Drosophila melanogaster: one gene and its partners. The protein of the gene in region 1 interacts with the protein of each later gene in a pairwise test. Each region holds a gene or a part of one and is shown on either strand. Other genes may lie near its edges.

Region 1 (10,343 bases):
CAGGAGCTGCAGCGTGAAATGGCCGAGACTACGGAGCAAACCGATCGCGTCACCGCCGAGTTGCAGCAATTGCGCCAGCACAGCCTCACCGTTGAGTCTCAGGATACTTGCGAAATTTGCGAGATGATGCTGCTGGTTAAGCCCTTTTTCATCTTCATCTGCGGCCACAAGTTCCACAGCGATTGCCTGGAGAAGCACGTTGTGCCCTTGCTCACCAAGGAGCAATGTCGGCGCCTCGGCACTCTAAAGCAGCAACTGGAGGCGGAGGTGCAAACGCAGGCGCAACCGCAGTCAGGTGCCCTGAGCAAACAGCAGGCGATGGAGCTGCAGCGGAAGAGGGCGGCACTGAAAACCGAGATCGAGGATATTCTTGCTGCGGATTGCCTATTCTGCGGGCTGCTAATCAGCACCATCGACCAGCCGTTCGTTGACGACTGGGAGCAGGTGAATGTCGAGTGGGAGTAGTTCGCTACCACCGTCGTTCAGACCCAAATATTTATGTACATATAAAGTATTTATTATTATAAATAAACCTACACTGATCACAAAGGTTTCGACTGAGATAGCCGTCCAAATTCTACAGTTACCTGGCCATCGCCCACTTGCCCGCAGAGCAGGTCAGTCCACAATCTGCATGCGCAACTCGTTGGTCACGAATGACATGACAGTGTTAAGCACAGCCTGCTGAATGGAGGCGTTCTGGACAATCAGCGGCAGCAGCATCACCACGTCGGTGGGATGTATGTCGGCCACGGCCATGGTTACGTGCTGCACCAGCTGCTCTCGCTGTGCGTCCGTCAGGTCGTTTAGGATGACTTCGCCCAGCGGACGGAATGTGCCTGTTCGGGAGGAGGGAAGTGGAAATGTAGTGAGACTGAGTACGGGAGTTCTCCTCCGCTTACCGCTTGTCATCTTGTAGGCGGCGATTCCGCCGGCGGCCCCGCCAACCGCCAGCCCAACGGGGCCCAGGAGCATGCCACCCGCAAAGGAGCAGGCGGCGCAGATTGCCGCTCCCTTGCCGGACTGCTTGACGGCGACGCGGACGTTGCGCTCGTCCGCTACGATGGCTATCGCCTCCATCAACTCGCGCGTATCTATGGGCATATTTAGGCTACGTGGAGTTGGCCCGAATTTCGCAACGCTATGCTAGTATTTCCTGTTTAGACTTTGTTCCGTGCGGCAGTATGACGTTTCCGATTACGCCACCCGTTCCGTTTGTATCCTGCCTTTTAGTGTTGGTCTTGAATTCTCCAACTTGCTACTCGACAACATAAACAATTTCACGGAATCCGCTTGAAGGGAACTATTAAAAAGCTTATATTTGACTTAAAAAACAGCAACTTGATTAAACTTGTGAGCGCCAGATTCAGAGATGCGCAAACGGCGGTCACAATCGACGTTTATATCGATATATGGCCTTAACCCTTATGTGTTAACCCATTCCTGTTATGGGTCATACATTAAATTTCTTATATTAATCCTATAGGTTATTACTGTCCTGTTGCTAAGTTAAAGATGAACAATAAATTAAATATATATGTGTTTATTATATAAATTGATTCAACGGATTACGTTTGCCAACTATCGAATCGCAGTGCAAACGATGTCACTGTATCGATAAGTCGATTGCCCGCGGCGAACAGAGCATTTAACATCAGACTTAACAGCGAGTGCTCTGCTGCGCTGCGCGCACTTAACATTTGCATTTTGTTTTGTTCGTAGTTTATCAATTCGAGTCGAGATACTTTTGTGTTTCACCTACGTATCACACCCGACCGATTCTTCCCATGCACGGATCTGTGGCAGATCACCTGGCGGACCGAACGAGCCTGCAGAACCGCCCAGAAAGTAGCTCCTCTCCGCTGGGACTGGGATGTGCGCAAAGCATTTAAATTGTGAACACTTCCGTATGATTGCGATTCCTCGGATGTGGATGACCGCTCCGTTCCCGCGCCACCTAGTCGAGGAGTAAACCTGCCAGGGAGCACCTAGTGGAATTCATTTCGGAGGCGACATGCTCGCGTACACCCACGTAAGTCCAATGCGCATGCAGCTCTGCTAGTGTATGGGTGTACCTGTAGCAGGAGGGGTAGGGGTATGGACATGGGCATGCCGATACTGATATTGTGTTTATAATCTCGAAAGCACTCTAAATTGCTCCGAGGGAGGGGTGCTGCTAGTGAGGTTATACTACCCATGGCTCTATATTTTATACCACACCCAGTTATTATACTCATACAGCATAGGTATTTCTCATATTGTAGTTGTGAAAAGAAGCGCATTTGCCTTGAAATCAGAGGCCATCTTTAGTTAATCCTCGTATCCTCACACGCTATGGAACATTTAAGCCAAAAAGGAAATGTTTTCCATACCAAACCTATTATTGGCCTATGGTAATACCAAACTGTTATGCTGTTTTGACCAGCCAAAGATCTGGAAATAGCCCCCTTCCACTTCCACTCCATGCCGAAGCCGACAATTTGCCACCAACCGACACCGACCCGCCCACAATTGCTGCCTAACACAATTAATCTTTTTATTGCCCTTTTATCACATACGATTCGTTAATTAATTGCCGAATTAGCATGGCAGTGTTGTTGGCAGTTGGCCCGCAAGACGCTAAATCGAGTGGGCAAACAATTAGAAACCAGTTGGATACCGAAGACCCTCCCGACTCCCAGAGCCGCAGGCCCAGCAACTTATGCGTACAGGGTGTGCCTCACTTACCCTAATTACGGCAATTGGAGGACGAGCCAGGCCAAGCCCTCGTCGGTCTAATTCGATTTGCAAACAAACGCGTCTGGTGTAGCAAATATTTGCATATGTATGTCCAACGTGCGACACGGCGTTTTTCCCATTTCCCCACTCGATTCGCTTTAACGCGCCCTTTGATTGTCGTTGTCGTTGCAGGGCACATGGCTCCTGCTCCTGCTGCTCCTTGTAGCAGGCGCATGCGCGCGGCCAGAAATAGCACACACACCGGATCCGGCTGCACTAGGCGAGGAGTCTACTCCACATGCACACGCACATCCACAGGCTCGCCATCATCACCATGCCCATCCCCATGCGCCGCTGAAGGAAGATGAGCAGGGAACAGCAATACCTGCTCCCATCCTAACAACTGATAACGTGGGCATTGGGGAAACCACGACGGCATCAAGTTTGGCCGAGACGCAAAGCATGTCCGATCCGGGATCTGTGACAGACACAACATCCACAAGCACATCGCACTCCACCTCGACCACGTCGACCACTTCGCCCGCACCCCTTCCGCCGGCTGCTCCCGAACAGCCCGAGTATCTGAAGCACTGCTTCTATGCAGAAGAGCAGCTGTGTGGCCACACCTTTGACGGACGAGCCGAAACCTCCGAGGGCCAGGGCTCGACAGTCGCGCAGTCGGAAGCCCAGAACCGAGGAGGACAGGGGAACAGCCAGTGCCAGTGCAGGGAGCACCCGACGCGGCCAAACTCCTGGTACTGCTGCAACATATCGCAGCTGACGATGATCTCAAGCTGCAGCAACATATCCAAGTGGACCAACCTGCACGTGCGCAACATGACTGTGGAGGACATGGACCTCTCCAATCCAATATTCCGATCCCTGCAGTCGCTTGCCGTGACGGACGGCAATATCACTCGACTGGTGAACGCCTTTCCGCGGCTCTCGGCTCTTAAGTGCCTAAACATATCAAACAACAACATCTCGGAGATCCACTCGAGGGCGGTGAAGGACGTGCCCCATCTGGAGTTCTTCGGCATGTCGAACAACAATCTCTCGCTGGTGCCTCACCGAAACCAGAACAAGAACATTACGCTGGATATCAGGTGAGTAAGGCCATATGTTTAGAAAAGGAAGAGGCCTAACCAAACGATTCTTTTCAGTGGCAACATGCGCATGCTGTGCACTCCGCTAAACGAGATAATATACACCGAATCTATTAATTTCCTGAACCCGAAGCACTCCTACTGTCAGTATAACGCCACACACACCTGGTTTCAGTCCACGGACAAGGTGTCCGTGGAGCAGCTGGAGAACAGAAAGCGGTGTGTGACTAATTGTCCGGTTATTCCGAACTACGGCAGCTGCAATTGTACGCTGGAGAATATTATGATCATACAGGACAACCAGTCGAAGCCCCAGTGCCACGTAGACTGTTCCAATCTTGGCCTGGTGGAGCTACCCCAAAGACTGCCGGACAACACATTTATGCTCAATATCACAAACAACAAGATAACCAGCCTGGGCGATTACTTCCATACCAATCCCACCTACCACAATATTAACCGTCTCTTGGCCGATAACAACCAGATATCCTCCATCTATGAGTTCGAGGGTACCAAGTTCATCGAAACCTTTCAGCGCATCTACATGCGAAACAATTCGCTGAGCAAGGTGAGTGCTCTGACCTACTAATGTACCAATCCCTAAAACAAACTGTATCTTTCTACAACGATATAGATTCCGGAGTACTTTCTCAACAATGCCCTGATGGACTCTGGCCTGGGCCGTCGTATTTACCTGGCAGGCAACAAGCTGCAGTGCGACTGCAACTCGGCAAAGACGCTGCAAAATTGGCTTAAGGAGCGTAGCTCCGATATACCCGACTATATGGAGATACGCTGTCGCAACATGCCCCAGAGAGTCATCGAACTGCAGGAGGCCAAACTATGCCAGTCCCCACCAGACTGGACCGATTACATATACTATTTAATAGCCGCCGAGGTCCTGCTGCTGCTCGCCCTTATTACCAAGGTGTCCTACGACTATTGGGTCTTCAAGACGGCTGGCTATCTGCCCTGGCCGGCCAGTAAAATGCCCAAGTTGCCATGCGATTGGCTGTGCGAATCGTAGAGCCAGAGTGGAGAGTAAGATGGCCAGTTGGTCAAACAGACGGCCAGACTGTGACACAATCACATGACAGAGCGTATTCTCATACGTGTCCTACCTTTATATGTATCCGACTGTATCTGCGGAACCGTGTGCCTTCTATATTCATACATATGTGAACGATTTTTGTGGTGTGTAGCCTTAAGAACAGTGTGCATGCACTTGACGATTTGTAGTGGGTGCGGTGGATCTGGAAGTATAAAATGGAGGAGTAACGTTGATCAGCACCATTGCTTAGGGTCGTGAGCTTAGTCAGCCTACTTACATGTGGCAATAAATCAATAGAGAAACTCGTGTTCGGAGTTCATTTTACGAATGATATTTATTGTTGTGGTTTGTTGTGATTTAAATAGAATAATTATTATTAAGAAAAAAATACGCACTTCCAACTCTTCCGATGCAGCTGCAATTTGAATTGAGCTCTGCATCTCCCTTCTCCCAGTGGGGCGAGGGTTTTGGTTTGGTTTTAGATCGCCATTAGATCGTTATTAGATCGTGATCGTGATCGCGATGCTAAATACCTGTGTAGGCGTGTGAGTGTGTATGTGTGTGGTGTGTAGTGTAGTGTGATTCGGTGTATTGTGCCTTTTGGGAATATAAGTGGGGTCACGATGCCTTCGATTTGGCCACGTGCCCTGGTTTAACTTTATACTTAAATATGTTGACTTGGTATTATTAGGGGACTCTTTAACACTGCCTTTCGCATAGGTTGTTATTTATTATCGTCGTATTTCATCGTATTCATCATCGTAGGCATGTATATATGTTCTTTTAAATGTGTATTCGTTGCGTGGTTTTGCATGTAAATATATATGTTATACATATTCGTCGAATGGCGCTAAATAAACAATACAAATCTTCTAACTTAGGTAAATATCTGTCTTTGTGTATATATGCCATGTATATAAATGTCTCGAGCGCGCACCTAAGTTACATACATAAGTGTTTTGGCGTATAGTCCTGATGTCAAGTCTATTGCACATGGGGGGCATCTAAACTGGGACTACCTATAAAGGATACGGCTCACTGTTGTGCTTGTGGCACCACCGCATCAGCAGTGGCCTGGAGGAGGTGTATTTGAGCTATTGGAGGATATACATTTAATAGAACTATGCATTTATACATACATATGTGAGTAGCGAATAGCAGATGCAGATGCAGTTACATATACTCTAAAGTGTTCATTGCAACCTGTTCGTGTGGCATGGTGTTAGATCTTATGCTACGGCGCTCGTCCTATGTGTGAAGTTCGCTCCGCTCCCGAATGAATCAGGATCGGTGTGGCGAACTCAGCAGACCTCATTTAGACTTCGAAAATTGAACAATTTAAGGAATGCATGTTTGTGTTTAATCGATATAAAATGTGGCAGAGGTGCAACAAATTACTCTCAAGTCGTGTGTTACAAGTTTATTTAAATGTAAATTAGCCTATAATACTGAAGTCTAATACTGGCCGGGCAGTAAGGTTAACAAATCTATGTGTGTGCACGAGTGTGCTCTTTCCCCGTTCCATCCAAATCCACACTTGGATTTGGACCCTCCAAAAACAATGCAATGCAGTCAAGAGCGTACTCGATATCCTGATCGTGTGGGAAGAGAAGCCCGTTTCTGGGCAAGGCCCATGTGTAAAATAACCGTGGACGTGGCCTTGGGGTCTCTGGATCCTGGGCCTGGCTGGCCAGCCACTGACCACCGTTCGATGTAGCGTGTAGCGTTGAATGCATATAGCTAAGGACATATGTGTTACCCATTTGATAGGTGCAGCATGTAAACAATAGAACCGTCGGTAGTCCGATGGGCACCAGCACTCTCCGCCAATCCGGTCGGGAATAACGAGCTGAGGCCTCCACTACGCAGTGGCTGGAGGGAGTGCTGTTTGTCGCTTCTCTTGGGGAAGGGGGATAAAATTAGCTAGTCATCTTTATAACAAAAATAAGTACAATATCTTTAGCTTCCGCCATCGTATTTCATATTGTATCTTGATGAGCTACATATATAGAACTATCAGTCTCACGTCCCATACCAAGGTAATAATAAAAATCTATGACATATTATTTAAGTACATACGTAGATCTGTACATGTGCATAATGGTTAATCTTCAAACTTCAATCGGCCTGTGCTCCTACGACTGTGTGTTGTGTGGCGTTTTGCTTTGCTATGCCGGTGTATGGTGTATGGGTTGCTTCTAAGTGTTATATGTTGTGTTGTGGCCAGGTCCTGGCCTCTGGATCCCACATCCTGATTTTTAGATTCTAGACTTTGGATTTTGGTTCAGGGGCGGGTGGTGCGGCTGGACCTTAACACATAGTCCACATGTATGGATGTAGGGATGCTGGGATTTAATGGCTGTGTCGTGGCATAGTGCTGGGGATTATGGTGCTGGTGTCTTGGAGAACTTATTGTTCTCCAACGCCAAACGCCTGCCCATCTCCTGCTCTTGAACTATGTATATGACCTATAACTTCGTTGAAACAACAACAAAAACACAACATGCAACAAGTACATCAATGTAAGCGAATACATACATAAATACATTCATCTGGGCATTTTTACTCTGGTGCATGGGGTGTACGGTTGCCCGTTTTTTGGTTTTTTGCTTTATGTTTTTTATATGGGGGTGCACAAGTTACTTATACGTCTTTTGATTTGTGTTTCGATTCGATACTGTATGCTTTCGTTTAGTTTTGCTTCCGATAATTTGCCCTGCGTTCTCACAGACAACACATAAAGTACATCGGATGCGGATGCTGGATTTGTGCAAACACATATTTGTGTACGACAATTAGATGATATTAAATACAAGTACGCTGTGAGTTAGTCCGTGCTCATCCTAACAAACGAAAAGGTGTTTGCCATTCATATTCAATCATTACTATCGTCTCGTTTCGTTCTCATTTGTCAATGCCTCCAACGTTTCTATATCGGAATTGGATTTGGATTTGGATTCGGAATCGTAGTCCCCACATATTATGGGTATGGGTGTTGATGGGCCTCGACTAGTCTGGTCCGCAATCTCAGATATAAAAATCTCAACTGCTCCGATTAAATGTCAATTTTAGCTTCGTTCCACGCCAATTTCCAGTTGTGTTAAAGTATCTCGGTCTCGTACAGCTGTTTAGTGGTCGTTGTGGCGGTCTGGTGTTGGGAGTTCAAATTCAAATTCAAATTCGAGTTCGAGTTCGAGTTGGAGTGTGCAGCAGCAGCGCTCGCACCAGCCGCCCCTGCAGCTCCAGCACCACCACCACCGCCGATCGCACCGCTCGTAGCATCACTGGCCACCACGCCGCCATTGGTAGCCGCAGCAGCAGCCGCCGCTGCCGCCGCAGCTGCGGCTCCACTAGTCTCACAGGCTAGACTCAATGCGGCTATCTTCTGCTGGATGTTTGTCTCGCTGCCCAGCTTCCGGAGTGTATTGCTGCCACTTGCGATGTCCTGTGCAGAGGAGGAGGAAGAGGAGGCCACATCCACCGAAGGCAGCTTGCTCATCTGCTGCAACCGCTGGTACTGCTCCTGCAGCATCTTTTGCTTCTTGAGCAGCTCCTGGTGGCGCATCTCGAGGGCCACCTGGCGCTGCACATGATCGTTGCCGGACTCGTTGCCGCTCGAGTTGTCCCCGCTTGAGGTGTCGCCGCTAACGACGGACGTAGTCTCACCCACTATTCCCTTGTTTCCTGTGGCATTGCTATTGGCATTGGCATTGGCATTGGCGCTGGCATTTGAATTGGAATTGGGAATCAAATTGACTGTGGCTGCGGCAGCCTGGTTTGGTGGCACGTTCGGGCTGGTTGGACTGGCCAGTGGACTGCGTGAGCTGGTGCGTGGCGGCGGAGGTGGCGGGATGCGCTTGTGGCCCACCTTGGTGATCAATTCAGCGTTTCGCTCGGGCACGGGTGGCTTGCTGCTGCTGCCGCCGTTGGCCAGGCTGGTCGAGGACGAGGTCTCGCTGGCCCGCGGGCCAGTCGGTGGCGGCCCAGGCAGTTCGCCATCCGACTCACTGGGATAGGAGTGCAGGCGTCGCAGGCTGCCCATGTTGGTGTGCACCATCAGCTGTGCCTGCGACTGCGACTGCTGGTGGGTGAGCACTCCTCGCTGGGCTTGAGCTTGGGCCGAAACAGTTCCCGAGGCGACAGCGATGACCATGCTGCCGGTGGTCGCTTGCTGCACATTGACGCTCGCCTCCGTGTAGAGACGGGCCTGCGATATTTGCGTGGTGACGGTGCTTTGTACTGCGGCCTGGGCGCTTTCGTCGGATGCCGAGTCTTCAGGGCGAATCTGCGGAGGGAGACTTGGACCCCATGAGTTTGGCTGGGGATGGGGGACGCGCTTGGTGAGCACACTTACCTCGTATAGTTGCTGGTGCTGGTGCTGCTGCTGTTGTTGCTGCTGCTGTTGCTGCTGCTGCTGCTGTTGTTGGGCGATGGGCTTGGAGAATGTCTTGAGCTCATCTAGCAGAGCATCGAGTGCGTTTTCGGGTGCGAGTCCCCCGCTGAGAGCGAACGACCCCATCCTGGGTGTTGGGATTGGCTACAAGAACACACAATTAGGCGGTAAAACACTGGCACTAATGTAGCTCCCGGGAGGCGAAGGCGAGGTATAGTACATAATATATATAGATATATATATATATATATATAAAATTATATATATATATATAGTAAGTAGTCACATTTATACATTCGGCAATTAGTAGGTACTCAAATGGGACATGTATATTCTCGCAAAATATCTGAATACGCATACAAATCCGATACAATACGCAAATAACCCAGCAATATACATATGTATCTACAAGTGTAGCCAAACCAAAAAGACCGCCAAGGCGTTGAAATATATTGTACATAGGTGCAGTTGGTTGCAGTAGGTTCGGATCATGCAGTGAATAAAGCCGGCGTCTCGCAAAACTTTACTGAACGAACAATCAATCAAAGAAATGGGAACACATATGGAAGCGTATAGTACTAGAACATGATCGGTTGCCGGATAGAGTGTGTCAGTACATCGAGCTAATGCATATTCACAAGCAGGCAGGCAACAAGCAACAAGGTAAGCGTTCTACAATGGTGGACAGTGGATGATGCTGTACGGATGATGGTGAGCGATGGTTTATCGTTTATCCAAGGCACAAGTATGTGGTATGTGGTATAATTAACCAATAACTTCATAGGCGACGCGGCGAATGAAACGGTGTGGATGCGGATGCGGATGCAAATGCAGATGTGATTGACAGATGATGTTCTTGTATTCTCTAAGCTCTAAGTGGAAATGAATTGCACCCCGTGGCAATGTAGTATTCATGGATTGCACGGAAGTCTTCACCGAGTACAAAGTGAAAAGTGTCTTCTATATGCTAGAGTGTCTCTACTGATTCTTCTTCTGCTGACCGCTTACTCGACACTAGATCCCAGCTTTGGATGCGGTTAGTGTAGTGGCTCTGATAGCTTAGTTGGTACTGGTA
Region 2 (10,383 bases), on another chromosome or scaffold:
AGAGTTTTTAATCATCGACTAGTCTGCCACAGCAGCAGCACCGGAGGCCCAATGGGGCCCAGCTGGATTGTTGGCCATCGGATGGTGGATGTTGGATCCTGGATGTTGGATGGCCTTTGTATGGCTCCATTATGCGGTTGATTTACTACCCAAACAGCTGTGAAATATCATGGCCCTCCACGAAGCCTCTTGACCGATGGCAAACGTAACGGAAACGGGTCAAAGGGATTCGCCCACATGAGCATAGTTGCCTTCAAAGTTTTCCTTCAAACTTTTACCGCTAGGGATTTTGGAGGATATTAAAATATGGCGTGGGTGGTTACTTATGCATATAAATATATTTTATTTGTAACCAAAGTTTGTTCAGAAAAAAAAGGTAACATTAAGAGGAAGTAGAAGGTCTCATTCATTGTTGAAGTAGCAAAATAATTTTTGTGAAAAAAAGTAAGTTTCGCTAATAGGCGGCTGTAGAAAAGGGAATGACGAACAGAACCCTCTTGTTTCGTTCTCATACTAAACTACTTTTTAATGCTTTTCAAGTCCCCATGAAATGACTGCATTTATTATCCATTTACTGTAGCGAGTTAATGCCCTGATCCTCCCCAGCTTATCTTTGCTTGAACGGAACAGCAGCTTGTTTACACCCATATTTATCAATGCTGTCCGCAATAGGACTTTGACGGAGTAACGAGATGCCCCCATCCTGGACGGAAAGTTTTGAGCAACTCAGCTAGATAAATCAACTGGCATTAGAACGGGGTTATGCTGCTGTTGCTGTTGCTGCGGCAAGATAAATAAATTAACTCGTTCAAGTTGGCTGACAGATGGACTTAGGGCCATCATGATGGGACAGAGCCATCATTGCCAATCCCTCGTCTCGCTCCCCAGGCGAACAAACAAGTCGTTAAAAACGCGTGAATCCTGGCTAATTTATGGCTAATTAAGTTGACGCAACTTTTGTGCGGGGTAAAATGGTGGGGAATCCCCGCCATCCGTAACATATGCCACGTGTTCTCAAGCCAGTTATGGCATTTTTGTTTGAAAAGCCGTTTGCAACCATTTTCTCCTACACTCAGCGAAACAATGGGCGAGTCTAGTGCTTGACCGTTCTCGTGAATATCTCGTTAATTATGTAGCCTGTTATGGGCAGCTTACCATCGTAATGCATTTTTATGATCGCAAATGGAATTATAACTGCTGGGCATGTCGACTACACAATGCTCCACTTCCTTTTATTTTCATGCTTGTACTCATTTTGTTTGCAAGTAGCTGAAGTGCACTGCGAAAAAATCGGTGTCTTTAATAAAAAAATTAAATGGAAACTATGAACAGTTTGCTAAGCTGGAGTAAATCGTTATCTGAATCCTAAGTGTATGTGAATTCAACTATATTATCTGCTTAGTGCCAGATCAGTTTGTTATATAAGTTTCACAACCTTTTTTCTTGCTCTGTATTTACACACAATGCCATTACAAGGGCATAGGTTATGGTCGGCTACCCGTAGACAAACTCCGTGGTCCGGAGGATTGTATGGGAACCTCCACCTCAACATACAGACTACGCAACATAACCGTACATCTCTGCCCTCCAGTCGGGGTAATTTCGTAGACAAACATCATTGGCATTTCTGTTTGAGGGCTCTGAGTGCCAATTAACTGAACGTGGCTGCCCCACCTGAATCGGATGGCTGGGTGGTTGGATGAGAGTGCTCGACCCTCAAATGGCACAGAATCCTCCATGTACATCCTCCATATATATGTACATATATAGTAGATATCGATCAGATCCCTTACACAGGCTTTCAATGGGTGCTTATCTAATTGCTTACAGCAGGTGTCAACATTTTTATCATGCCATTAAATCAATTCGAACTGAGTTTTACGGGTATGAATAGGTAGAAAAAAATATAAAAAAAACACCTTAAATATTTTGAATACCTTCAAATAATTGTTGATTTTATAATTAATTGAGATATGAAAATCATCAAACAGCTTAATTTGAAGTCCTGTTTTTTCGTTGTTTCTGCTTTTGGTTAGCCATCGTCGGTGGCTTGACAAACTCGCTCATCAACACGTAGTCTCATTGTGGGATACTTTAACCACGCACACAACTCATCAGGGACCCCAACTGAGTTGGCTGGCCACGTGCCGCAGAGCCCCAGGATCCACCAATTCCTTCTGAAAAGGAATTCGCTGGGTGGGACTGGAACTGAGCTTTTAAATTAAATCACAAAATGAGGATGGAGCGACTAAGGCAAGCCAGTCCGCCGCTAAACCAAATAAATAAACCCTTTGGCCGCAGTCCTTGGTGTGCTTGGGGTCCTCGGTGTCCTTGCCTCTTAAAGGCGCATCCTCCTTGGGAGAGATAACAGTGAGGACAGGAAGTCAGCTTGCCAGTGGGAAGAAGGAATGTGAATGGCATGCACAGTGGACCAAATGGGACAATCGATGGCGAGTGAAAATCATGTAGTGAAGTTCTTAAATACTTATCAAGTATTTAATTCATTAAAAATGATGGCTCAGAAGCTATTTGCACTTTAAATTAAATTTATATTCTTCGGCCAGTAGAGTATCTGACAAATAAATCCTTTAATTCATCCACTGTGGAACGAGAAATGACATCTCGTTGCGCCTGGCAATTCGGTAGCCAAAAGGACACGAGGAGACCAAAAGGGATAATGGCATAAAATCCAACAAAATGAAAAGAAAGCGGCAAATCATGTTAAGAGATTTAAATTGGATTAGTCGACATGTGTGTGTGAGTGGATGTTAGTCTCTATCCTTGGTGGTGTCAACTGGCGGTGGCCGTGAAGCCCGCTTCTGCGCCCCCTGGATGTGGATATCCTGGCACGGTCGGCACTCGCTCATCTTGACATCAATTTTGTCACTTGATTTCCCTTTCTTTTCGGCATTTTTTTTATTCGTGCCCGCCCGTCCTGGGTTTTTATTTATTTTGTATGCTTGACACAATTCTACGTCGAGGACTTACGGCTCGAGTGTCTCCCTGGTCCTTGATGCCATTCACCCAGAATTCCGCCCAGAATCTGCTCCTTCGCAGTCACCCCGCAAAAAAAGTTCCGCCCACGTTCTGCATTTGACAAGGAGTCATCCTTCCCCGAATCGGGCGGTCACCTTTCATCCTCGGGAAACAGGAGGACGACCAGCTTGACATCCGGAGACATGGCGTCAGGTTGAGCCGTCGTCACAATTAGAATAACATTTTATAATATCTGGACAATTACAATAAATTACTTTCAGATCTTAACGCCAACGACCTGGTAATTGAGCAATAACTGGAAAAATGTATTGAAGGAGCATGAATATTTTCAATAAAAAGCAACTATTTTTATTTTTTAAGAATGTTTTTAACTGTAGGAGTAATCCGTTCTACATGGAAATTTGCTTTAAAAATATTTGCTAACACAGCCGGCAACTTTAAGGAATAAAGATTTTGAATTTTTCTACTTTGCTGATTTTCTTCAAAGAAGAATTTTATTTAAGGACACCCAAAATTTTAGTTCCAGGATCTAAGGCATTGGAATGACATTTTTCAGGACCTGCTATTGTATGATTTGCAGTGGCAGTCCAGAACAGTAGACAACCATATTAAGACCATTAGATTTGAGCTATATTCCAAATATTTTTCTCCATTTACGAATTATCTTTTGGCTCCGGCTTCTTACGATACTTAACTTGAGACGTATAGATATCGTAGCCCAAACTGATGGTGTTGTCATAGAATACCCTGTATTGCGGCTTGATCAGCAGAAAGTTGATGAACTGTGCCAATGGCCACACGGTCCACTCAGCAGCGTACAGTACTAAGGCCTTCTCCCTAATCTCCTGCTCCAGCTCCTCCCACGTATTGTCCTCCAGAATGGCCATTGTGAGAAAGAATACGGCGATGTAAAAGGGTGAGCAGATGAACTGGTCCAGCAAAATCTTGACTACAACCACCTTATAGGTGCGCTTCGGAAACAAGTAGTCCAGATGTTGGTACCAATAGTGGCACACCAGGCCCACCGTCAACCCGGATATGCCCATCCTAATGGTACGCGTTCGGTTCCAATCCGGAAGCTCTCCTATGAGGCGCTCATAGGACTGCTCCATGGTATCGCCCACCATGCTCAGGCCCACAGAGATCCCGATGTTGGTAAATAGGAGATACTTTGGGCTGAAGGCTATCTGATGAAACCGGTCCATGGCATTCGTCATTCGCCTCCATAGCACTCGTAGAGCCATCTAGGATCCCCTGTTCCTGGTGGTGCCTCCCCCTATTCTAATCATCTTGACACATTTCTCTAAGAAACTCGAATAACTATTTAGAAGTGTGTTTCGGCTTATAAATTTCATACTGGGTGGAATCAAAGCAGCTGATAACTAGATCCTATAAATCATAATAGATATTTAATTGGTCTTATAAATGTTTTCATTTTAATAAATACATTATCCTTTATTTATTTCTAATGTTTTATATCTTAATGCTTATCAAAGATATTTGAAACGAGTTTCACGCCACGTTAGCAAGAATTCTGCAACCACCCTCGAAATTCCAATCAAAGTTTTAATCAAAATGCCGCAGGAATGCCCTTATATATTTGTTAAAGATAATGGCGAAACCGCCACTAGAAATTATTCTCTACAAAACAAAAGGATTCGAAAAGGATAAAGGGAATTTGGCATTTAGCTGCGAAAACAAAACACAAACAGGCAATGAAATCAATTTGGCGCCAGCAACACGAAATGAGTTTTCGCAGGATTTGTTGAGGTAGCCAAAGCGGGCTCCAACTTGTATCTAACGCCTGAGCAGAGGACCGCCAACCGCCGTTGAAAGGACCCAAAAGGGTTGCCCGCCCACACGCACCGAAGACACACAACAAAAAAAAAAAAAAGGAATCGCTTTGCTCGGCATTCAAATGAGGCCTTCTCTCCGCTCGATAATCCCCAGCCCACATGTTGCTCCGCCGCATCACCAGCATCCTCCCTACTTTAGGGGTTTGAGTGTTTTGGGGTCTTGACGCCTCCGGCGGGCAATTTTTTGCCATCCCGGGTGTCGGTGAGTTAATACTGCCAAATCATTTGCACGCGATTCCCAACCGCAGAATCCAAATGCAACCCCTTTGCGCCCCTTGGGGAAATCATATGTGCCAACCCTTCGTTCCCCCCATGACACGCTTTTGTGGGCCAGTGAATTGAAAAATATTTACGGCCTTCTACGATCTACGCTAAAATCCAATTTTATTTTTATATTCCGTCGAAATCCGCCATAAAACCGTGTTCCACCAACGCGCCTGCCCCGTTTTCAGTTCCCCGTTTCCGATTGTCGATTCAACCGTAAATTCAGCTTTTGCAGTTTTTGGGTTTTGTTTGCTGGGTGTTCGGGGTTTTCTAAAATTCCTCCCATATCAAATGATTCTGACAGCACCGGAGGTCGTGGGGTTTAGGCATTTGTTTCATTAGCACCACGATACACAGATGTATCTACTGTTTTCCCACCAGTCGCTGCACTATTTGCCGTCGTTTAATATTCGCATTTTGGAAAATGCCAGAAAATGGCACAAACCAACAGAATTTAAAATAATAAACGTTAATGCGCAATCGAAAATAATCAACAAAAACGTGTCAGTGTAAATTTGTTGAGAAATAATTGGGATAGATAATTGGCAGAACAATTTTTTCGTTCATTTTCAAACGAAAAGCTTTTCATAAATCCCTTTTTCAATAGAATTCAACGCATTTACATTTTTAATCCCATTTAATATTCATTAGTTCATTTCATTATTCATTTTACAAAGAGTACTTTCTACATTCTATATCTAATTTTCCTATCACAGTCCCAAAATGTGTAACTCGCAAGGGGTCGACAACAATAAACGCTGATTCGGTTAGAATCCTTCGCAGGACCTGCCGTACAAAAGCCTTCTAGGTCTAATTCATTGTGCAAATGTAATGGGCTTGCAGCGCTCGGCTATTTACATACTGGCACTTCCAACCCGTAACCCGTAACTTTTGGGAGCACCGGAGAGATATGGAGATGCTATATTGTGTCGCCTGTCCCCAGCTCCATGGACACATGAGTACGTCTAGCTGGATGGTAGCCAGGCTCCTGAAGCGTGGCAAAAAGCTACAAAAAAAAACACAAAAAATGAAGAAGGAAAATGTACCAAAAAAAAAAAAAAAAAACAAAAGTGAAAGCGGCCATGCATTTTCATAGTTTTTCCCACTTTGTTATGCTGATTTTTCACATTCTCGTTTCCTTTCCTTTCGTTTTTCCTGCCAGCCAGCGTTCGTTCCGCTCTCATATTTTTTTCTTTTTTTTTTTTTTTTTTTTTGCCTGCTACTGGATGATGTTGCCGGGTTTTTAAGGGTTTTTGGCTGCCGAGTTGTGGGGTTCCGAGCATGTGTGCATTTTAATTGAATTTTTCATTTCGCTCAATAAAAGCAAAGGCCGAATGTGCAGCCAGCGGGCCGCAAAAAGTGTCATAATCCTTCGCCTAGTGTCCTTGGACCCCATCATTTAAAAGGACCCCGGACCAAAATTCGAGCGATTTGGTTGATTTACTTCACAGTGGCTAAGCATTTAATTTCATATATATGTATATATATTGGAAATCACTCTCTAATTGATTTCGAATCGATTTTGAATGGCGCTTTAGTTCATGTTTAGACGGCCATTCGGCTTCATTTTCCACTGGCTGCCTCGACTTCAATTTATGCAAATTAAATCGAAATGTGATTTTAATGGCATTTTCGGCACGGCCAGTCCCAAATGATGATGAGTGTGTTTGCAAATAAATGGAAGTCGAAAAGTTAAGCCATCTCTGTGTGCAGCATTTCGTGCCGCCGGGAATCCATTCCACTCCGCCGAACCAAAAGGAAGCCAACTATAACCGCATGTTCCGTTCCGGAAAACTAACTTATTCAATTAGTGGATGGAAAACTTTGGCTGTTTACTGTACACTTCAAATAAAATCTGCCCGTCGAGGGCAGACATCTGTGTATGCTTCACTTGTTTAAAAAAAAAATTGTGAAATCCACTCATTTAATTTGAACTTTTACAGGTGTTCTACATGTTTAAGGCAACTTCTCCATTCATTTTGCGCCATATTTATTCCAGGATCGTTGTCACATAGCTACTGATAGCAAAATATTATAAAATGCTGGCCACTTAATCCACTTCTTTTATACGAAGTATGGATTGCATAAATAGCTTAAAAAACAAATGTATTTCTTTATTTTCGGGCTGACATATTCTCTGAGCCAGTGTGAAAAACACACGCAGTTTTTTGTTCGATTCCGATAAAAATGCAAACATATAAAAGTCAGAGATAGCATTTCACCAGAAAAATGCGATTTTTCACAACGAATGTGTACCAAAAATATTTAATCAATATACAAAATGGTGGGATACATTTAATGTGCAAAAGAGAGATATTTCTGATTATGTCCATCTGTCTAGTTGAATATTTGTTTTTAGCTGCGAAACAAACGGAATTCGGAAACGAAATTCGAAAGGATCAAAGGTCAATTCACTTGACTCGTGCAGTCAAGCGGTTGCGGGTAAAGGAACTCCCGGCATATTTGAACTGCACCGCCGGGGAAAATAAGTCAGCTCACCGTTAACGTAAACGAGTAAATAGCCAAACATCCAAACAGTCAACACGTCGGCATCGTCGTCACCCGCCAGTCGTGCCAATTTCGTTAAAGCAAGCGAAAACAAACAACACGGCACCACCCTCAAAAACCCCAAACCCCAGTCACCAGTCACCGGTACCCAGTACCCAACCCCAAGCTCCAACCCAATTCAAATACAGCCAGCCGCCCACTTTGTACAGGCTGTCTGGACGATGCACAAAAACAAAAGAGCAACCAGGTGAGCAGAGGATGACAGGTGTCCTGGTTCGCGAAGCATGAGCACTAAAAAAAAAAATTGCCTAAAATCGAGCCTTTCATTAAGTTTTTCTTTCTTTCCAATTATGTGTTAACATGAGAACAAAGCTTCACAAATTGATTTGTTAAATATTTTCCTTTAAATATTTTGTTTTTTTCTGAAACTAGTATCTAGCATTTCTCCGAGTGTAAGTACCTTATTACCATGGGTGGAGCACAGCTGTTTATGAGGCGCAAAAATGTCATACATCATGCGACACGCGATGTCAGGCTGAGAGGACATGGGCACCAGGACTCCGGCCGGAATCGCTGTCCGTCCTTTTGGCTGTCCGTCTGTCCGTTCATGACGCGGAACAAGATGAAATTGGCTGGGGTCGCGTAAGCGGAGCAAAACGGCAGGCATGCAGAAAAGAACGTCGCGGATTTGTAACTGAGAAGGATCCACTAACGCCAGAAACGAAAAATGAGTGCTGGGATGTGATGGGGCTTTCTCCGGCAGACAGACTGCATCATCACCTCCATTGCCACCTCCTGCAGTACTTTACCATTATTATCAGCAGGATTGCACGGTCGATGTGGAGAGGGATGAGTGTGTGTGCGGTGTGCGGCAACTCCTGGCTGCTCGCTCCTCCTTAGGATAGGCATTCACGCCCAGCTAAGTGGCACACGAAGCGTTAAACTATTAAGCACATGTTGCCACTCGGCGGGTGATTCATGGAACGGGATGTGGAGGAGCTGCGTCACGCACAGGAAGTGCCATCGCCACCGCCACCGCTTTTGTTATTCGGCTTAAGATAAATCATGTGCATAAGTCTTGGTCCATGTCGCCATGCCGTGAGATTACTATATAAATTCTGGTTGCCATCACATTTAAAAATTTCATTTTATCACAGCTTTAGAAATTTTCCCACTGACGAATTATAATTTATATACATTTTATATAAAGTGCTCCTCCTTTCTGAAAAGTTAATAAGAATTACAAATATATATAAAGGCATATTGCTGTACGCAACACTAATAAAACTGATTTAAAGATTCTTGCAAACAACACTAGCTTAAAAGGGGGTAATAGACTAAGTGCTTTAGACTCAATTTAAAATCAGAAAGGTAAATACATTTCACTCGAAGCTTTTCCATTTGCACACACAGGCGCACACATTAGCTCTTTGAAAGGAGTGTAACTGCTGGTAAACTAAAGTGCTTAAAGCCAGAAAAATAACAGACAAATTAGAAACACACACACTCACGCACACAGGCGAGTCTGTCCAACTGAACTAACTTTTCAAAGGCACTGTAAAGGATATCACGGCGCTGCGGGGAGGTGGGCCACTCTAATTAGAATAATTTTGCGCTGCGTTGCGCTTGGCAGCGCTGCAGATGTGGCGCCATCTGGCGGGCGATGGCAGGAGAAAGGTGATGCCTGCAGGATCCACACACACACGCACATACAGCTATGGCATGATGCAAAACAAACAAATACACTGAGCAAAAAGGAAGTATGAGGATATAAAATAAATATTTGTCAATATTGTCAATACTGGGATTAAAAGAATATTTACATATTCATATCTAAAATGTCTATAGCTTTTAAGTAAATATTTAAATTAAACGACAAACACAAAAAGCATAAAGTAGTCTGCTTAATAAAGTTAAGCTATAATAACATTTAAATGCAACGAGACACTTTGAGTTATTCTTTTTCCGTAAAATTTGATTTCGTTTTGAATTGAGTTTTTATTGTCAGTGCACCAAAGGCACCTGGACCTGGCCTGCATTCCTTGTATATCGAGCAAATGTCAGGCCGAAAGGTCAACGAACCCAGGTGAACACAGAAAGAGAGACCGAGAAGTGATACTAAATATAATCAGGATGAAAGCATCACACATACGCACTGTGGAGCCGCAGGAGTCGGTGATGCCAACGGGGAGTGCCTTAAATTACAGAATTTAATTAATTTCGCTGAGATTTTTCATCGGCCGCCGCCGCGCACTTGACTTTGTACATTTGACTCATCTCCATGGCTCTTTTTTTGCCTGCCACTAATTTCCCCATCATCTGCGGTTGAGTCGTTTCCATGTGAATCACCCAGGACTTGAGTTCGCTGGGTCCCACTTCCACTTCCATTTCCATATCCATATCCACTCCCATTTTAATTTTAATTAATTTCAATGTGTATGTGGCAGCTGTGACTGTCGCTCGCCAGAAGTCATGGGATGGATTTCCCGGAGGCAGTGAAGCGGCAGCCAAAATGATTATGAGTAATTAGTTTTAATGGGCTCGAAGCATGTCCTGGTAGCAGCAGAATGTCACACTTACGGGCCGGGTGGAAAGCTCGCCAGGTACCCAGGTTACCTTACTTTTCGTCCAGGTTATTCTGGCACACTCTGAAGATGAAATTTAACTCGAGGGCCTGGGTAACCATGAGCTAAATATTTAAGTTGGTTTCTGAAATTACAATATAATGTTGCCTCTCAGCTACTCCACTATGTATATA
Region 3 (10,761 bases), on another chromosome or scaffold:
CCAAAGTACCAGAAGTACATCTGGTGGAAGAAGTACCTGACCACCTTCCAAATGGTAGTAAAAAATGTTGCCTTCGTCGGCGAGATTTCTAAAGGATCTCCTCTGACTTGCAGGTTCAATTCGTGGCCATTTTCACCCACCAGTTCCAGCTTTTGTTCCGCGAATGTGATTACCCCAAGGGCTTCATGGTCTGGATCGGATTGCACGGCGTTATGTTCCTGTTCCTGTTCTCCGACTTTTACAAAGCGAAATATCTCAACGCAGCTCGACGTCGCCGGCAGGCGGTCAAGGCCAATGGCTATGCCAACGGCTCGGCTTCGAATGGGCACAGCAAGCATCTTGGAGAGGGTGACGCCCTGATTGCAAACGGTTGCAATACTGGGGCTTGCATGGTAGGTCTTAGTGCCACCGCACACCTAATCTGGGGCTAATTGGGGGACACAAGGTCATTCATTCCCTGAGTGATAAAAGTGGAGACTGAGCACACATATTTTCCTTACATACTCAAGGCCCTGACGCCCCGACCTCACCAAGGTGAGCGTCTGGTGCGGGAGGGGCGAGCCGTCGTGGGCTGTTATATCATCATAATTTTGTTGATCAACTTAAAATTCTAACTAGCTGAGTTAGGCAAACAGCACTTGCGAACTCTCAGCATAGGCGGGGGACGTTTCAATTAGCGCTCACATGTGAAGCCGGATGCGAAGGCCCAAGCCCAGTCCCAGCCCAATCTGCCGCCCATTAGAAAAGCACATGGGCGGCATGTTCGCTGCCAGCACACGTGCCATCGTCCAGTGGAGTCTGAACCCATTGAACTCATTGAGCACTCTGTGTTTTCTTTTCAGCCGGTGATGGAGGACGAGTACGTCAAAAGCAAGGGGCAATCGAATGGTGCCTACAAGGAGGGCTTCTTCAAGGAGGGCGTGTTATCCAACAACGATGCCATCTTCAACCCGGACAGCAGTAGTTCTAGTCTGCACCAGCGCAAAGTCAAATAACTGCTGATTAGGTGTACTACGATGATATTCATTATGTTTATGTTAAGTGATTAGCGTGTAACTGAACCAGATTGAAGAACAAGACGAGCAAGAAACTTGGCAGAAGTAGCAGAAGACGATTGGCACGACAGCAGCGAAAAATTAATAGAGCTCGGTTTATGGATTGTTTTTGATAATTTATATTTTAAATACGTACAATACATAAAATCAGTTATGGCAAAAGTCAATCGGATGCGCCGAAACTTACCGAACAAACGCCACCTATGCCCACCCACCCGAACCGTCATTAACTAAAGCTAAGTAGAAAGAGAAGCGGCAGCACAAACTAAGATATAATCAAACCATTTTTACAAACATGTCCTACGGCACCAGTATGAACGTCCCGCTTGAAGCACAAATACGCCTCTGGTGCGCAGAGAAAAGTTATTTTTTGAACGATATTTATAGAGCCATAAAGCCTGTTTAAACCAGCTACAGATACCAATTATAGTGTAGCTTACCGCATACAAACACCAACAAAGACATACATACATACATACTCACTTTAGGTGTAAAATTTTGTATGAACATTTTTGATAACAAATTGAGATGTTACGGCGGCCGAACCTATGATATATGAAAGCTATACATGCTCTCTTCAGTCTGCTCTAAACTCAAAGAAGACGTTATACTATTTGTAGCTTGTTTTGTATATTGAGAGAGAACGGCATTTTGTTGCAATACTTTGTAAAGGTCTAATAGTTAAACTTATTTATACATTGTAGCTAGCTAGCCAATTGCAAAATGCAGCACGACCCAGACCTCCCCTTGGCCTTCCTGGACAATTGTGACAACTAAACGGACGACCGGACCGAAGATCACACTATAGTCAGACAAGAAAGAGTGACAAAGATCATGGAGATAAAGCTTTTATACTGTAAGTGCAAACCGGCTTAAGGACGAAGACAATCAGTTTATTAGTTGGTTGCCGACCAATGTAAATGAATCTTAACAAAAGTTTTCAACTATTTTCGCATTGCATTGAACCTCTTTTTGGTGTGGCTCATATATATTACTTTATTACTACCTATTCAATATCCGCTTGTTTCCATTTTTGGTTTGAAGTTGTTAAACGGTTTTTCAGCGCAGTGAGAAGTATTGGTGACAAATTATTTGTAAGTGTAATTCTGTCTGTTAATCCGTGCGTATGGTTTCGTTGTTAGATTATGTGGCTTAAGCTGACAAGTTCAAAAACTATAGAAAACCTAAATAAAGCTTTTTAATTTATATTAAAACTGTTCAAGAAAATATTTCAATTGTATTAACGCATATTTTGTACGTGTGTATAACTTTCATGACGGGATTGAATCCCTGGGGCCAGTGTACAGTGTAATTGTTAATAAACGAACACATTAAGTGTATTCCCACTTATAACTGATAATTAGAGGCTTTAGAGCCTCTGAGGGTGTGGCAATTGACCCATGTGGCCTATCCCCTAATGAGATTGGACATTGTTTCAGAGAAATACAAGGCATCTTGCCAGCCACGAAAATCTAGAAATAATAAAGGCTTTAAAATAATGCCTTTACTATCAGATGCCTGTTGCTTACTTAACAAAATTTCCGAGAATGGGTCAAGTGTAATATTTTATTTACAAGTCACATATTAATTTACAAATTCTACCGAATTAATATTGCATACACCAGGCCTAACACCTGATGTGCCTTTTGAACTTTTAATAAAAAAGAACTCTTGAAATAATCGCATTAGGAATTACGCTGAGCATGAATCAAATTTCACATTTCCCACTTTATACGACCAAGTAGTGAACCAAATCATAAATATTTTATGAATTACATGAATATTCCAAATAAAACTATATTATATTTATTAAACCAATAACACTATATTATAGGATATATTTAGTGTCTCCCTCCACAAGAAAAGTCCTTTGAACTACGTCGTTGCTAAGTTTTAACTTTAATTTAAGAACTCCTTGCGACGTTTATAACTTAAACCGCAACGAGAAAGGAAGTTAGCCTTGCACCTGTAGCTTATTTGCGTCTGCAGTACTATGACGTCATTTTCAGAATTAAAGGGTATATATGTAGATTCGTTGAAAAGAAAGAAATTTAAAGCGGTTATGGTAGTCCGATCTTAGCGTAAAAGATCAAGCGATTACATACCAAGACTTTGAGAAAAGTAAAAAAAAATTTGGCTGAGCCCCACTACCAAACATATGTTAAAATTAAATTGGAACCTTTTGGGCGTCTTGTTCGTCCCTTAAAAAGCATTTTTTGAAATACTTTACCTAAGCCCATAATTTGTGCTACATGTCATTAAAAACGCGTTTGCAAATGATTATTTGCTTTTCACAATTGTTTTGTCTCAAACAACAGATTAAAATGTAATACCCATTACCCGTAGAGTCAAAGGGTAGACTATAGGTAGGCAGTTTATGTTCTTTTCTGACTCGATAAAGAACATATTACTTCATCAGGACCAATAGACCGTATAAACGTCAAGATCTCTCTTGTTTTTTTTTTTACGATGATCGTTGAACGCTCGGCTGTGCAAAAGTGCAGAAACGTACCAAACAATCGAAAAAATCAAATAACAATACAGATTGCCACTGACTTAATGTACAAATGGGCCAGTACTTAATAGACGCGTACTAATTTTTGGCAAACAAATCCGCTAACAGGCGGCGACAGCTGGGCTGTACAGGCTAATATTTAAGCCCCTCTTGACCTTGTCGGCTCTCGACTCTTGCCGCATCAGCCGGACAGGGCGCGATGTTAGCCAAGTTGACATAACTTAATGCATCATAATGCACCGGCGTATTTGGAGCTGGAGCTGCGACGGAGACTATCGGCACTTCAGGCTAGTGTTAGCGTTAGATAATAATAACTATTTCCCAGCTCACTTTGGCACGCGCCCTTTGATGCGTTGTGACCAAACACTGAACCCTGACCAATTATCAATTGTATTATTACTACCAAGTATCCGAATTTCGTTTACAAGGAATGAACTTTGGAGAATTAAAAAAACTGTTGGAAAAAAACTATTAATTCAGGCAAAAGCTGCGAGTAACGACCGCTATAAAAATAAAACCCCTATTTTCTTAAATACTATCGATTTGGAACATATAATTGTAGGATAATTAGACAATAAATCTTAAGTCACCCCATATTTTGCGAAAACTCTTTCATCATGTTCCAAGCAATTCTTAATTGTTGGTCATACGGTTGGCCCAAAGTTTCGAATAAGGCCGTATATCTGTGCGTATCCATGATTATAAGCCAGATCACCTACACGGGCAGGAATCGTACGCCTCGTAATTAACATGGATGATTTAACGCTGTGAAAGGCCAGGTATCGGGGCTGTTCGGAAGTTCACTCCATGTAATATTTACTCGCTGGCAGTGTGCGATTGCTATTGCGACGGTAGCCACACTTGAACCTTGCCTGCGCCGCTGACATCAGACAAAAAAAAACAAGGTTCGGGTTCAGATTTGGGTCTTGGGTTCGGGATCTCCGGATCTGAATCGAGTCGCATCATTCCCGGTGTCCGGGAATAGCCAAGAGCCAATCAGGCCATTTGCCATCTTCGTGCACTGCACTTGACGCTCGGCGGCGGAAAGTTTTCGCACTGCACTCGGTCGGTGCTTGCCGCTGACCGTAACGTTTCCACCGCAGCCGCTGCGCTGCCAGTGGCGTTCTTCCCTGCGCTGGCGCTCGCGGTTGCGCCTGCGCCTCCGCTTCGTCGGCGTCGCGCGATCCGCGTTTAATTAGCCGCGCGGCGCGATCGCGGCTCAGTTTTCATTCAGAAGTCAAGCGCGCGCTAATCGCAGACGCAGTCACCGATCCCGTGTGCGAAAGCCGAAAGCCAAGAGCCAAAAGCTATTGCGAAAGTAATCATTTTACAAAGTTCTTTGGCAACACTTTGTGAAATAGTTCGGGCCGCGCAATTTGTGTGTTGTGGTTTTTGCAGTTTTTAGTTTTCAGATTTCGGTTGCCAGCGATTTACCAACCGAGCTGCTGCTGGCCGCCTTCCGTTGCGGATTTCGAGCTGTTTGCAAGTGGTAAGCTGTAAGTTGTTCGCACATGTGATTTTTGTTTTTCGCTCTTTTGCAACTGCGCGGCGCTTGGTCCGTTCACAATAAGCATTTTGGACGGCGCTCTCCACGCCAAAACACCTCCCCGCTCTGGCCAATCTGCCCGGCTATAAGGCGCAGATCGTCCGAGCTAATCGATTTGACTGGCCAATCGGGCTGTTCGATCCGGTGTTTCCAATGGTGTGGCAACCCTGCCATTTGGCGGTTGCACAAAATCAGCTTGCGTGGGGCATTTGATTCCCAGCGAGGATCCGATGCTGAGGACCTCTGGAGAATCCTCGACGTGTGGTCGCAGGCGGGATTCCGGCGGGATTTAGCCCTGGCCTGACTGGCAGCGCAGCGGCAGACCACGAACAGCTGGGCGGATTTGTATGCTGTTTGAGCAGCTGTTCTGGTTTCTGGACTGTTGACTCCCAATATACCGATAGGTTTTGTTTTGCTGACCCCTCGAGATAATGCATAAGAATTAGCCAGCATCGTAAAGCTTTTCACCGTTGACATTGGGTCCAAAGTAGCAGAAGCGCAATTAGTGCGCCCTTCGCGAATAATTGCCAGAGTTTTTCTTGCACTAAAAATATACAAAATGGTAATCCAAGGCAACTCGAAACAAGTGCGGAAACGATTCGCACAAAACCGGATCTGCAATGACCCGATTTTGGCCTTGGACTTGTCGCAGGGCATCCTGATCGTGGCAAAAAGTTTCCTTGAGTGTTTCCCAGTCAGGCGAGGTGGTCGAACGAAAACCGCTTCTGGGACCGACTTTCGAGGTCTTGTGACTTACTGATCGATAATGGGATAATGGTAGTGAATGGCTCCAGATCGACGATCGCTTCCGCGTTGGCTGTAATTGGACATCATAAATTGAACCGCCCAGAAGGGCTTGCTCATTGTTCTTACCCGGACTGGAGCCACTCAGGCGCTCCTCGGCGGATGCCACTAAGGTGGCAAATACTTTCAAACAGTAAGCTGGGATTTCGCTTTCCGTATTTACATATGCAAACCATTTGGGTTTTTTTCGCGCTCACCGTTCTTCAAATGCCACGCACGTAGCCGCGTTTCCAGCGAATTTACAGGCTACACGCCAATCCCCTGAGATCGCAGATCCGAGATCTGAGGCCCGACTCTCAAGAAGCCTCAAGAAGCCTCAGCCAAAACTTACCCAAACATTAAATCGCTCAACGCTCGCCGGCGTGGCCGCAGCTCTGGCTCACACCGCTTACTCTCTACTTATAAATAATTTAAACACAAAAGTTTGTTTGTCTAGAAGAGGATCTCGCTTCCACATCGAATAGCGCAATGGGGCGTGCTAACAACTGCGATTTGCGGAAGCCAAGTGTTAGGAAAAGAGCCGTAAACGTTTACATTTACGTGAAAGTATACCTTTATATGTATACTATTGTTTGCTATTATGTTTGCTATTGAATGCATTACAAACGGTTTAAATGTATTGATAAATACAAAATAGAAGGGCATACACTTTTGTCTGACTCCCATTATATATATATATATATGCATATGCATATATATGCATATATATACTTCTACCGACCATAAAAGCCACTAACCGATAGATAGGCCGCCGCTTGAATACCAAAATGTCTTGGGCAGTTTTCGAATATTTTAAACAATTACTACATTACAGTTAAGCGCCAATAACAATACCCGTACAATTCCTGGATTAAAGCAAGATTTCGTATCTTAATCTGGTAGCAATCCAGTTTGTACAATACGAACATTTTGTATATAAACTTTATAAAAAACACCTCCAAATATGTGGGATTAAAGTGACGATGACACTTCTCAAGTCCTAAAATGGCAATTAGTTAAACTTTTTTTTAACAAATTTTGCAGACAAACACATTTTGGAAAATGTCATTCAAATCTTGTTTTATAAATACAAGAATTATAACTAGAATTGCTCCCCCTTCTTCCTAGCTAATCATCATTCAACAAGAGATTTAAATCATCAAAAGATTATTCGATCACGATATACATAAATGGCTCTGATCAGACTCTCGGTTCTCATCGTCACTACGTAAACTGCCATCCACAGCGATGTTAGGGGACTTTACTTGGGATAAGCACACGTACCTACTTATAATGTCAATTGGAAGACAGCGTTTTGCAGTGACTAATGAAAACAATTAACAGAATTTCGTCCGCCTATGTCTGCGACGTGTACGGCATTAAAAATATTCCAGAAGCAACAACACTATCAGCCACATCTCCGCACTTTAGACAGAAGATACTCACAACTTGTTCATGACACTAAAACAAGTTGAGACATCACCTAGCTTGCACTTCGGTTTGCATTACCTTAGTTCTGCTTTGAGTTTCAACTTCCCCGATTTGATTCGACAAACTGGAGTAACTAGCGTAACTAGACTTACTCTACTCTAACTAGAGTTTACAACAGCAGTCTTTGAAACCCCGGGAAATTAGTTAAATAGCTTGTCAGTAAATTGACTTAATTAGTGAGCCGAAGCGCGAACAGCAAAACGAAAAGGAGCTGCAATATGCCCAATAAGACTAACATTTAGAAGAACACCACAAATTGATCGTTATAAGAAACTTCCGTTTCAGAAATATAAGTCCAATACCATGGTTAAGTATTCCTTATGGTTTTCGAGACTAGGGTACATTCCTTATAAATTCCTAATTAATTATTATACACAATACTTGTAGGGTAGACCTGAACTTGAAATGTATTTGATAGAAAGCATATCTTCGACGCTTTATTTTCTTTTTGTTTCCGGAATTCTATTATGTTTTGATAATTTCTAAGGTAGCCGAAGACAATTTAAAAATGTATCCTTCGCAATCCTCCGTATATATGTACATATGTATGTGTATTCGAACAAAGACTAGGCAGTCGAACTAGCCAAGTTCATCTGGACTTCCTTTAGCTGGGTAATAGGTATCTGATAGTCAGGAACTCGATGAAAGTGATTACTCTTGTTTTTATAAAATGCTGAAAGCATTGTTTGTTTGGCCAAATTGTGGGAAATAAATATCAGCCAATATGGTTTAATAGAAACAAGTTAGTTAACACACTTCGTGTAAATGCAATTCAAGCAAGATCAATAGAAAATGTTTAGAATGTGCTTACACCTCGTTACACTTAGCAAACAGGTTGGGAACTTAATGCTAGAATTGATTGAAATCGATTGATTTCAGGCTTTCCGTAGCTACCTTAGTAGAGTCAACAGCTTTTCACATGGTAATTATTTCCGCGTGGAATTGCAGTCGCGTTGCATGCAAATAATTCGGAATGAATTAATTAGGCGAAATTCAAGTTGTCCCGGAAGCAAACAGGCAATAGGGCGGAAAAGGCCGATCCAGCGAGTAGCATTGAGATCGGGCTTTGCCTTGACATGGCGAAAATATGAGTGATCAGACCTGCCCAAATTACTGACTAATATGTCCAAAACAAAAGGCAATTGTACTCGGATACGACGCATTTGCGCTGCTCGTTTTAATGAACATTTTTCGCGCCAGCGCGGTTACTTTACTCGCAATAAATCTGTCAACAAAGCACTGACTTCTCACTCGAGGATTTTGACATTGAAGATGAAGACGCCGACGCCAAAGGCGATGGCGTTGAAGACCCCGCCAAGCGGCGCCGATTGAGCTGTCGAGCAGCTCCGAAATGGTGCCCCCTCCCCATACCGCCACTCCCAGTTCCGACCATTGTCTTGGCCGAGGGCCAGCTCCATTCCGGCCAATCTCGAGAGCCTGTAATCGCTCATTTGCGGTTTATGCGCCGCGAGATGAGCACACGCACATGTGGAAGTGTGGAAGTGGCTATATGGGCCGAAACTAGTGTGAGTTTCAACAGAGATTAGTGGCTATTAGCAGAGTTACCTTGGAGTGGACAAGCTGGGAAATGTGCCCCAGAGGAGGCCTTGAGCTCGCGCCGGCTTAGTCGCGTTTTATGGGACATCGGAAGAGGGTATTAGGTTCTTTTCGACAGCCGATTGGTGGTTGGTCTTACAGGTGTCATGGGGTGATTCCCGCCCAGTAATGCCGATAATAGCACTCGGTAATTAGCTGCGGAATGCTACTATGGAATTACGAAGTTAGATGCGATCCCAAGAGGAGGCCTTCAGGTAGCGAATGTTAAGCCGTTTTATTGCCAATAAAGCAGTAGATTCTCAGGCTCTGTGGGCGACAAAGTCGCCGTTGGCGATTGGTGATGATATACCTGCGGAGTGCAGGTGTCAGGCGGTTCCTTCCTAATTCACGCCCATCATCGGGTAATTGCCTGGTGAGTGCCATCATGAAACTGCATTTTACGGCTACTCGAATAATTAAAGCCCCCGCCCCCATGTTTAACTGCTGATTATTCACAGTTCGGCCCTCCTTCCGCAGTCGCAGTGGGGCCAAAGTGCACTTCAGCCAGACCCTTTGCTCCGCCCCCAAGTTGAGCATCGAATATTTGACTTACGGAGGCTTGCGCTCGAAGTCGGATGTTGGACGCTAATCCAATATTTTGTTTGGAAGGCTCGAGTGGTCCGGCCCAACGTGGACCGTTGATCTTTGGAGCAAGGTAAACTTTGCTTGCTCGCTATGGGCTTCCAGAGGTAAACAAGCTACAAATTGCGCCAAGCGCGGCCACCGGCGAAAACAACTTTCGATTACATTCTTACACTCTCAGAGTTAGAGGCCAAAACCAGAAATAAATACTTCATCCCAATCAGTCGGCGAATGCCCTCAACAGCCCTCTCGAAACGCTGGTTGGGGCTTATTGGCTTTGCTGGGTGTGTTTGCGGCAAATAATGGGGCTTGGAAGCTGTGATAGCACAGGTGTACAGCTCCCGATCTGGGGAAATAGCAGAAGATCATGTCAGCCAAGCCGAGACACACGATTCCCGTGCGAGCTCCCACCTGGGTGTGTGCAGCAATGGACCTGAGAAAAGGGCAAAGAAGCCACCTCCGACATGGCTGTCACTTCGCATTACTGTGGTAGTACTGTTTCGACGATTTCCATACACCTTTTGTGTTTGCACGCCGATTGCGAAAGCGTAACGCCTGACTGTGTTTTATTTCCAGCCAGATCATACTAGCTGCCTCATCCGCCATTAGCCAAGCAGCACCACCGATCCCCAACTTGGTGGGCGTGCTCGCGGATGTCGGCGGAGGCTATATGAACTGGCCATTATCAGTTGACTTGATTTTAGCCCGATTTCATGGCATTCTCAGGGTCCAAAATTGCTTACCGTTTACCGCAGCCGCAGATTTTATGGCCCGCGGAACTGCTACCGACGTGGAACGTCGAGAAAGTCATTGTAAGGGCCATCTAAGGGCGTTTTCTTTGGGCCATCTCCGTCTCCAACTGTCACTTTCGGAGGCGATGGTGAAGCCACGAGGCCGTTGACGATTCATATTTGGCGTTTGGGGTATTTGCCAACCATAATCATTATCATTACCACACATTAGCTAACTAAGCCTTCAATTTGAAAGGTGGCTTTGTGCTTTGAGTGTTGCGGTGACGTTTCTATTGCGCAAAAGGTAAAGTGCCCATCGTTTCCCTCGCCAACATTCCCCAAAAATTCGGCCCGAACTTAAGTCCAATTTAAATAGATTTCTTTTTTCCCCGGCTGGCTCTACCATTGTCTTTGAGTTTGTCGCAGCTCGTAATTTTGGTATCTCTGCATCTTTATTAACTA

Evidence for each region.
Region 2: the proteins of CG3740 (region 1) and CG5906 interact in a two-hybrid assay, tested with the Drosophila melanogaster proteins (one large-scale study listed by BioGRID).
Region 3: the proteins of CG3740 (region 1) and CG31522 interact in a two-hybrid assay, tested with the Drosophila melanogaster proteins (one large-scale study listed by BioGRID).

Annotation. Positions count from the first base shown.
Region 1 is NC_004354.4:1,667,906-1,678,248, forward strand, and holds CG3740 (uncharacterized protein), read right to left. Parts: upstream 1,393-10,343; 5' UTR 1,105-1,392; coding exon 903-1,104; intron 884-902; exon of another isoform or gene 840-883; coding exon 619-839; 3' UTR 501-618; downstream 1-500. Other genes in the region: dor (deep orange), read left to right, coding at 1-465; hfw (halfway), read left to right, coding at 2,015-2,032, 2,911-3,824, 3,882-4,392, 4,459-4,851; CG32809 (uncharacterized protein), read right to left, coding at 7,976-9,160, 9,230-9,412.
Region 2 is NT_037436.4:11,866,997-11,877,379, forward strand, and holds CG5906 (uncharacterized protein), read right to left. Parts: upstream 4,310-10,383; 5' UTR 4,242-4,309; coding exon 3,651-4,241; 3' UTR 3,461-3,650; downstream 1-3,460.
Region 3 is NT_033777.3:4,456,925-4,467,685, reverse strand, and holds the start of CG31522 (uncharacterized protein), read left to right. Parts: upstream 1-4,802; 5' UTR 4,803-5,059; exon of another isoform or gene 5,060-5,066; intron 5,067-10,761. Other genes in the region: CG31523 (uncharacterized protein), read left to right, coding at 1-54, 114-392, 843-995.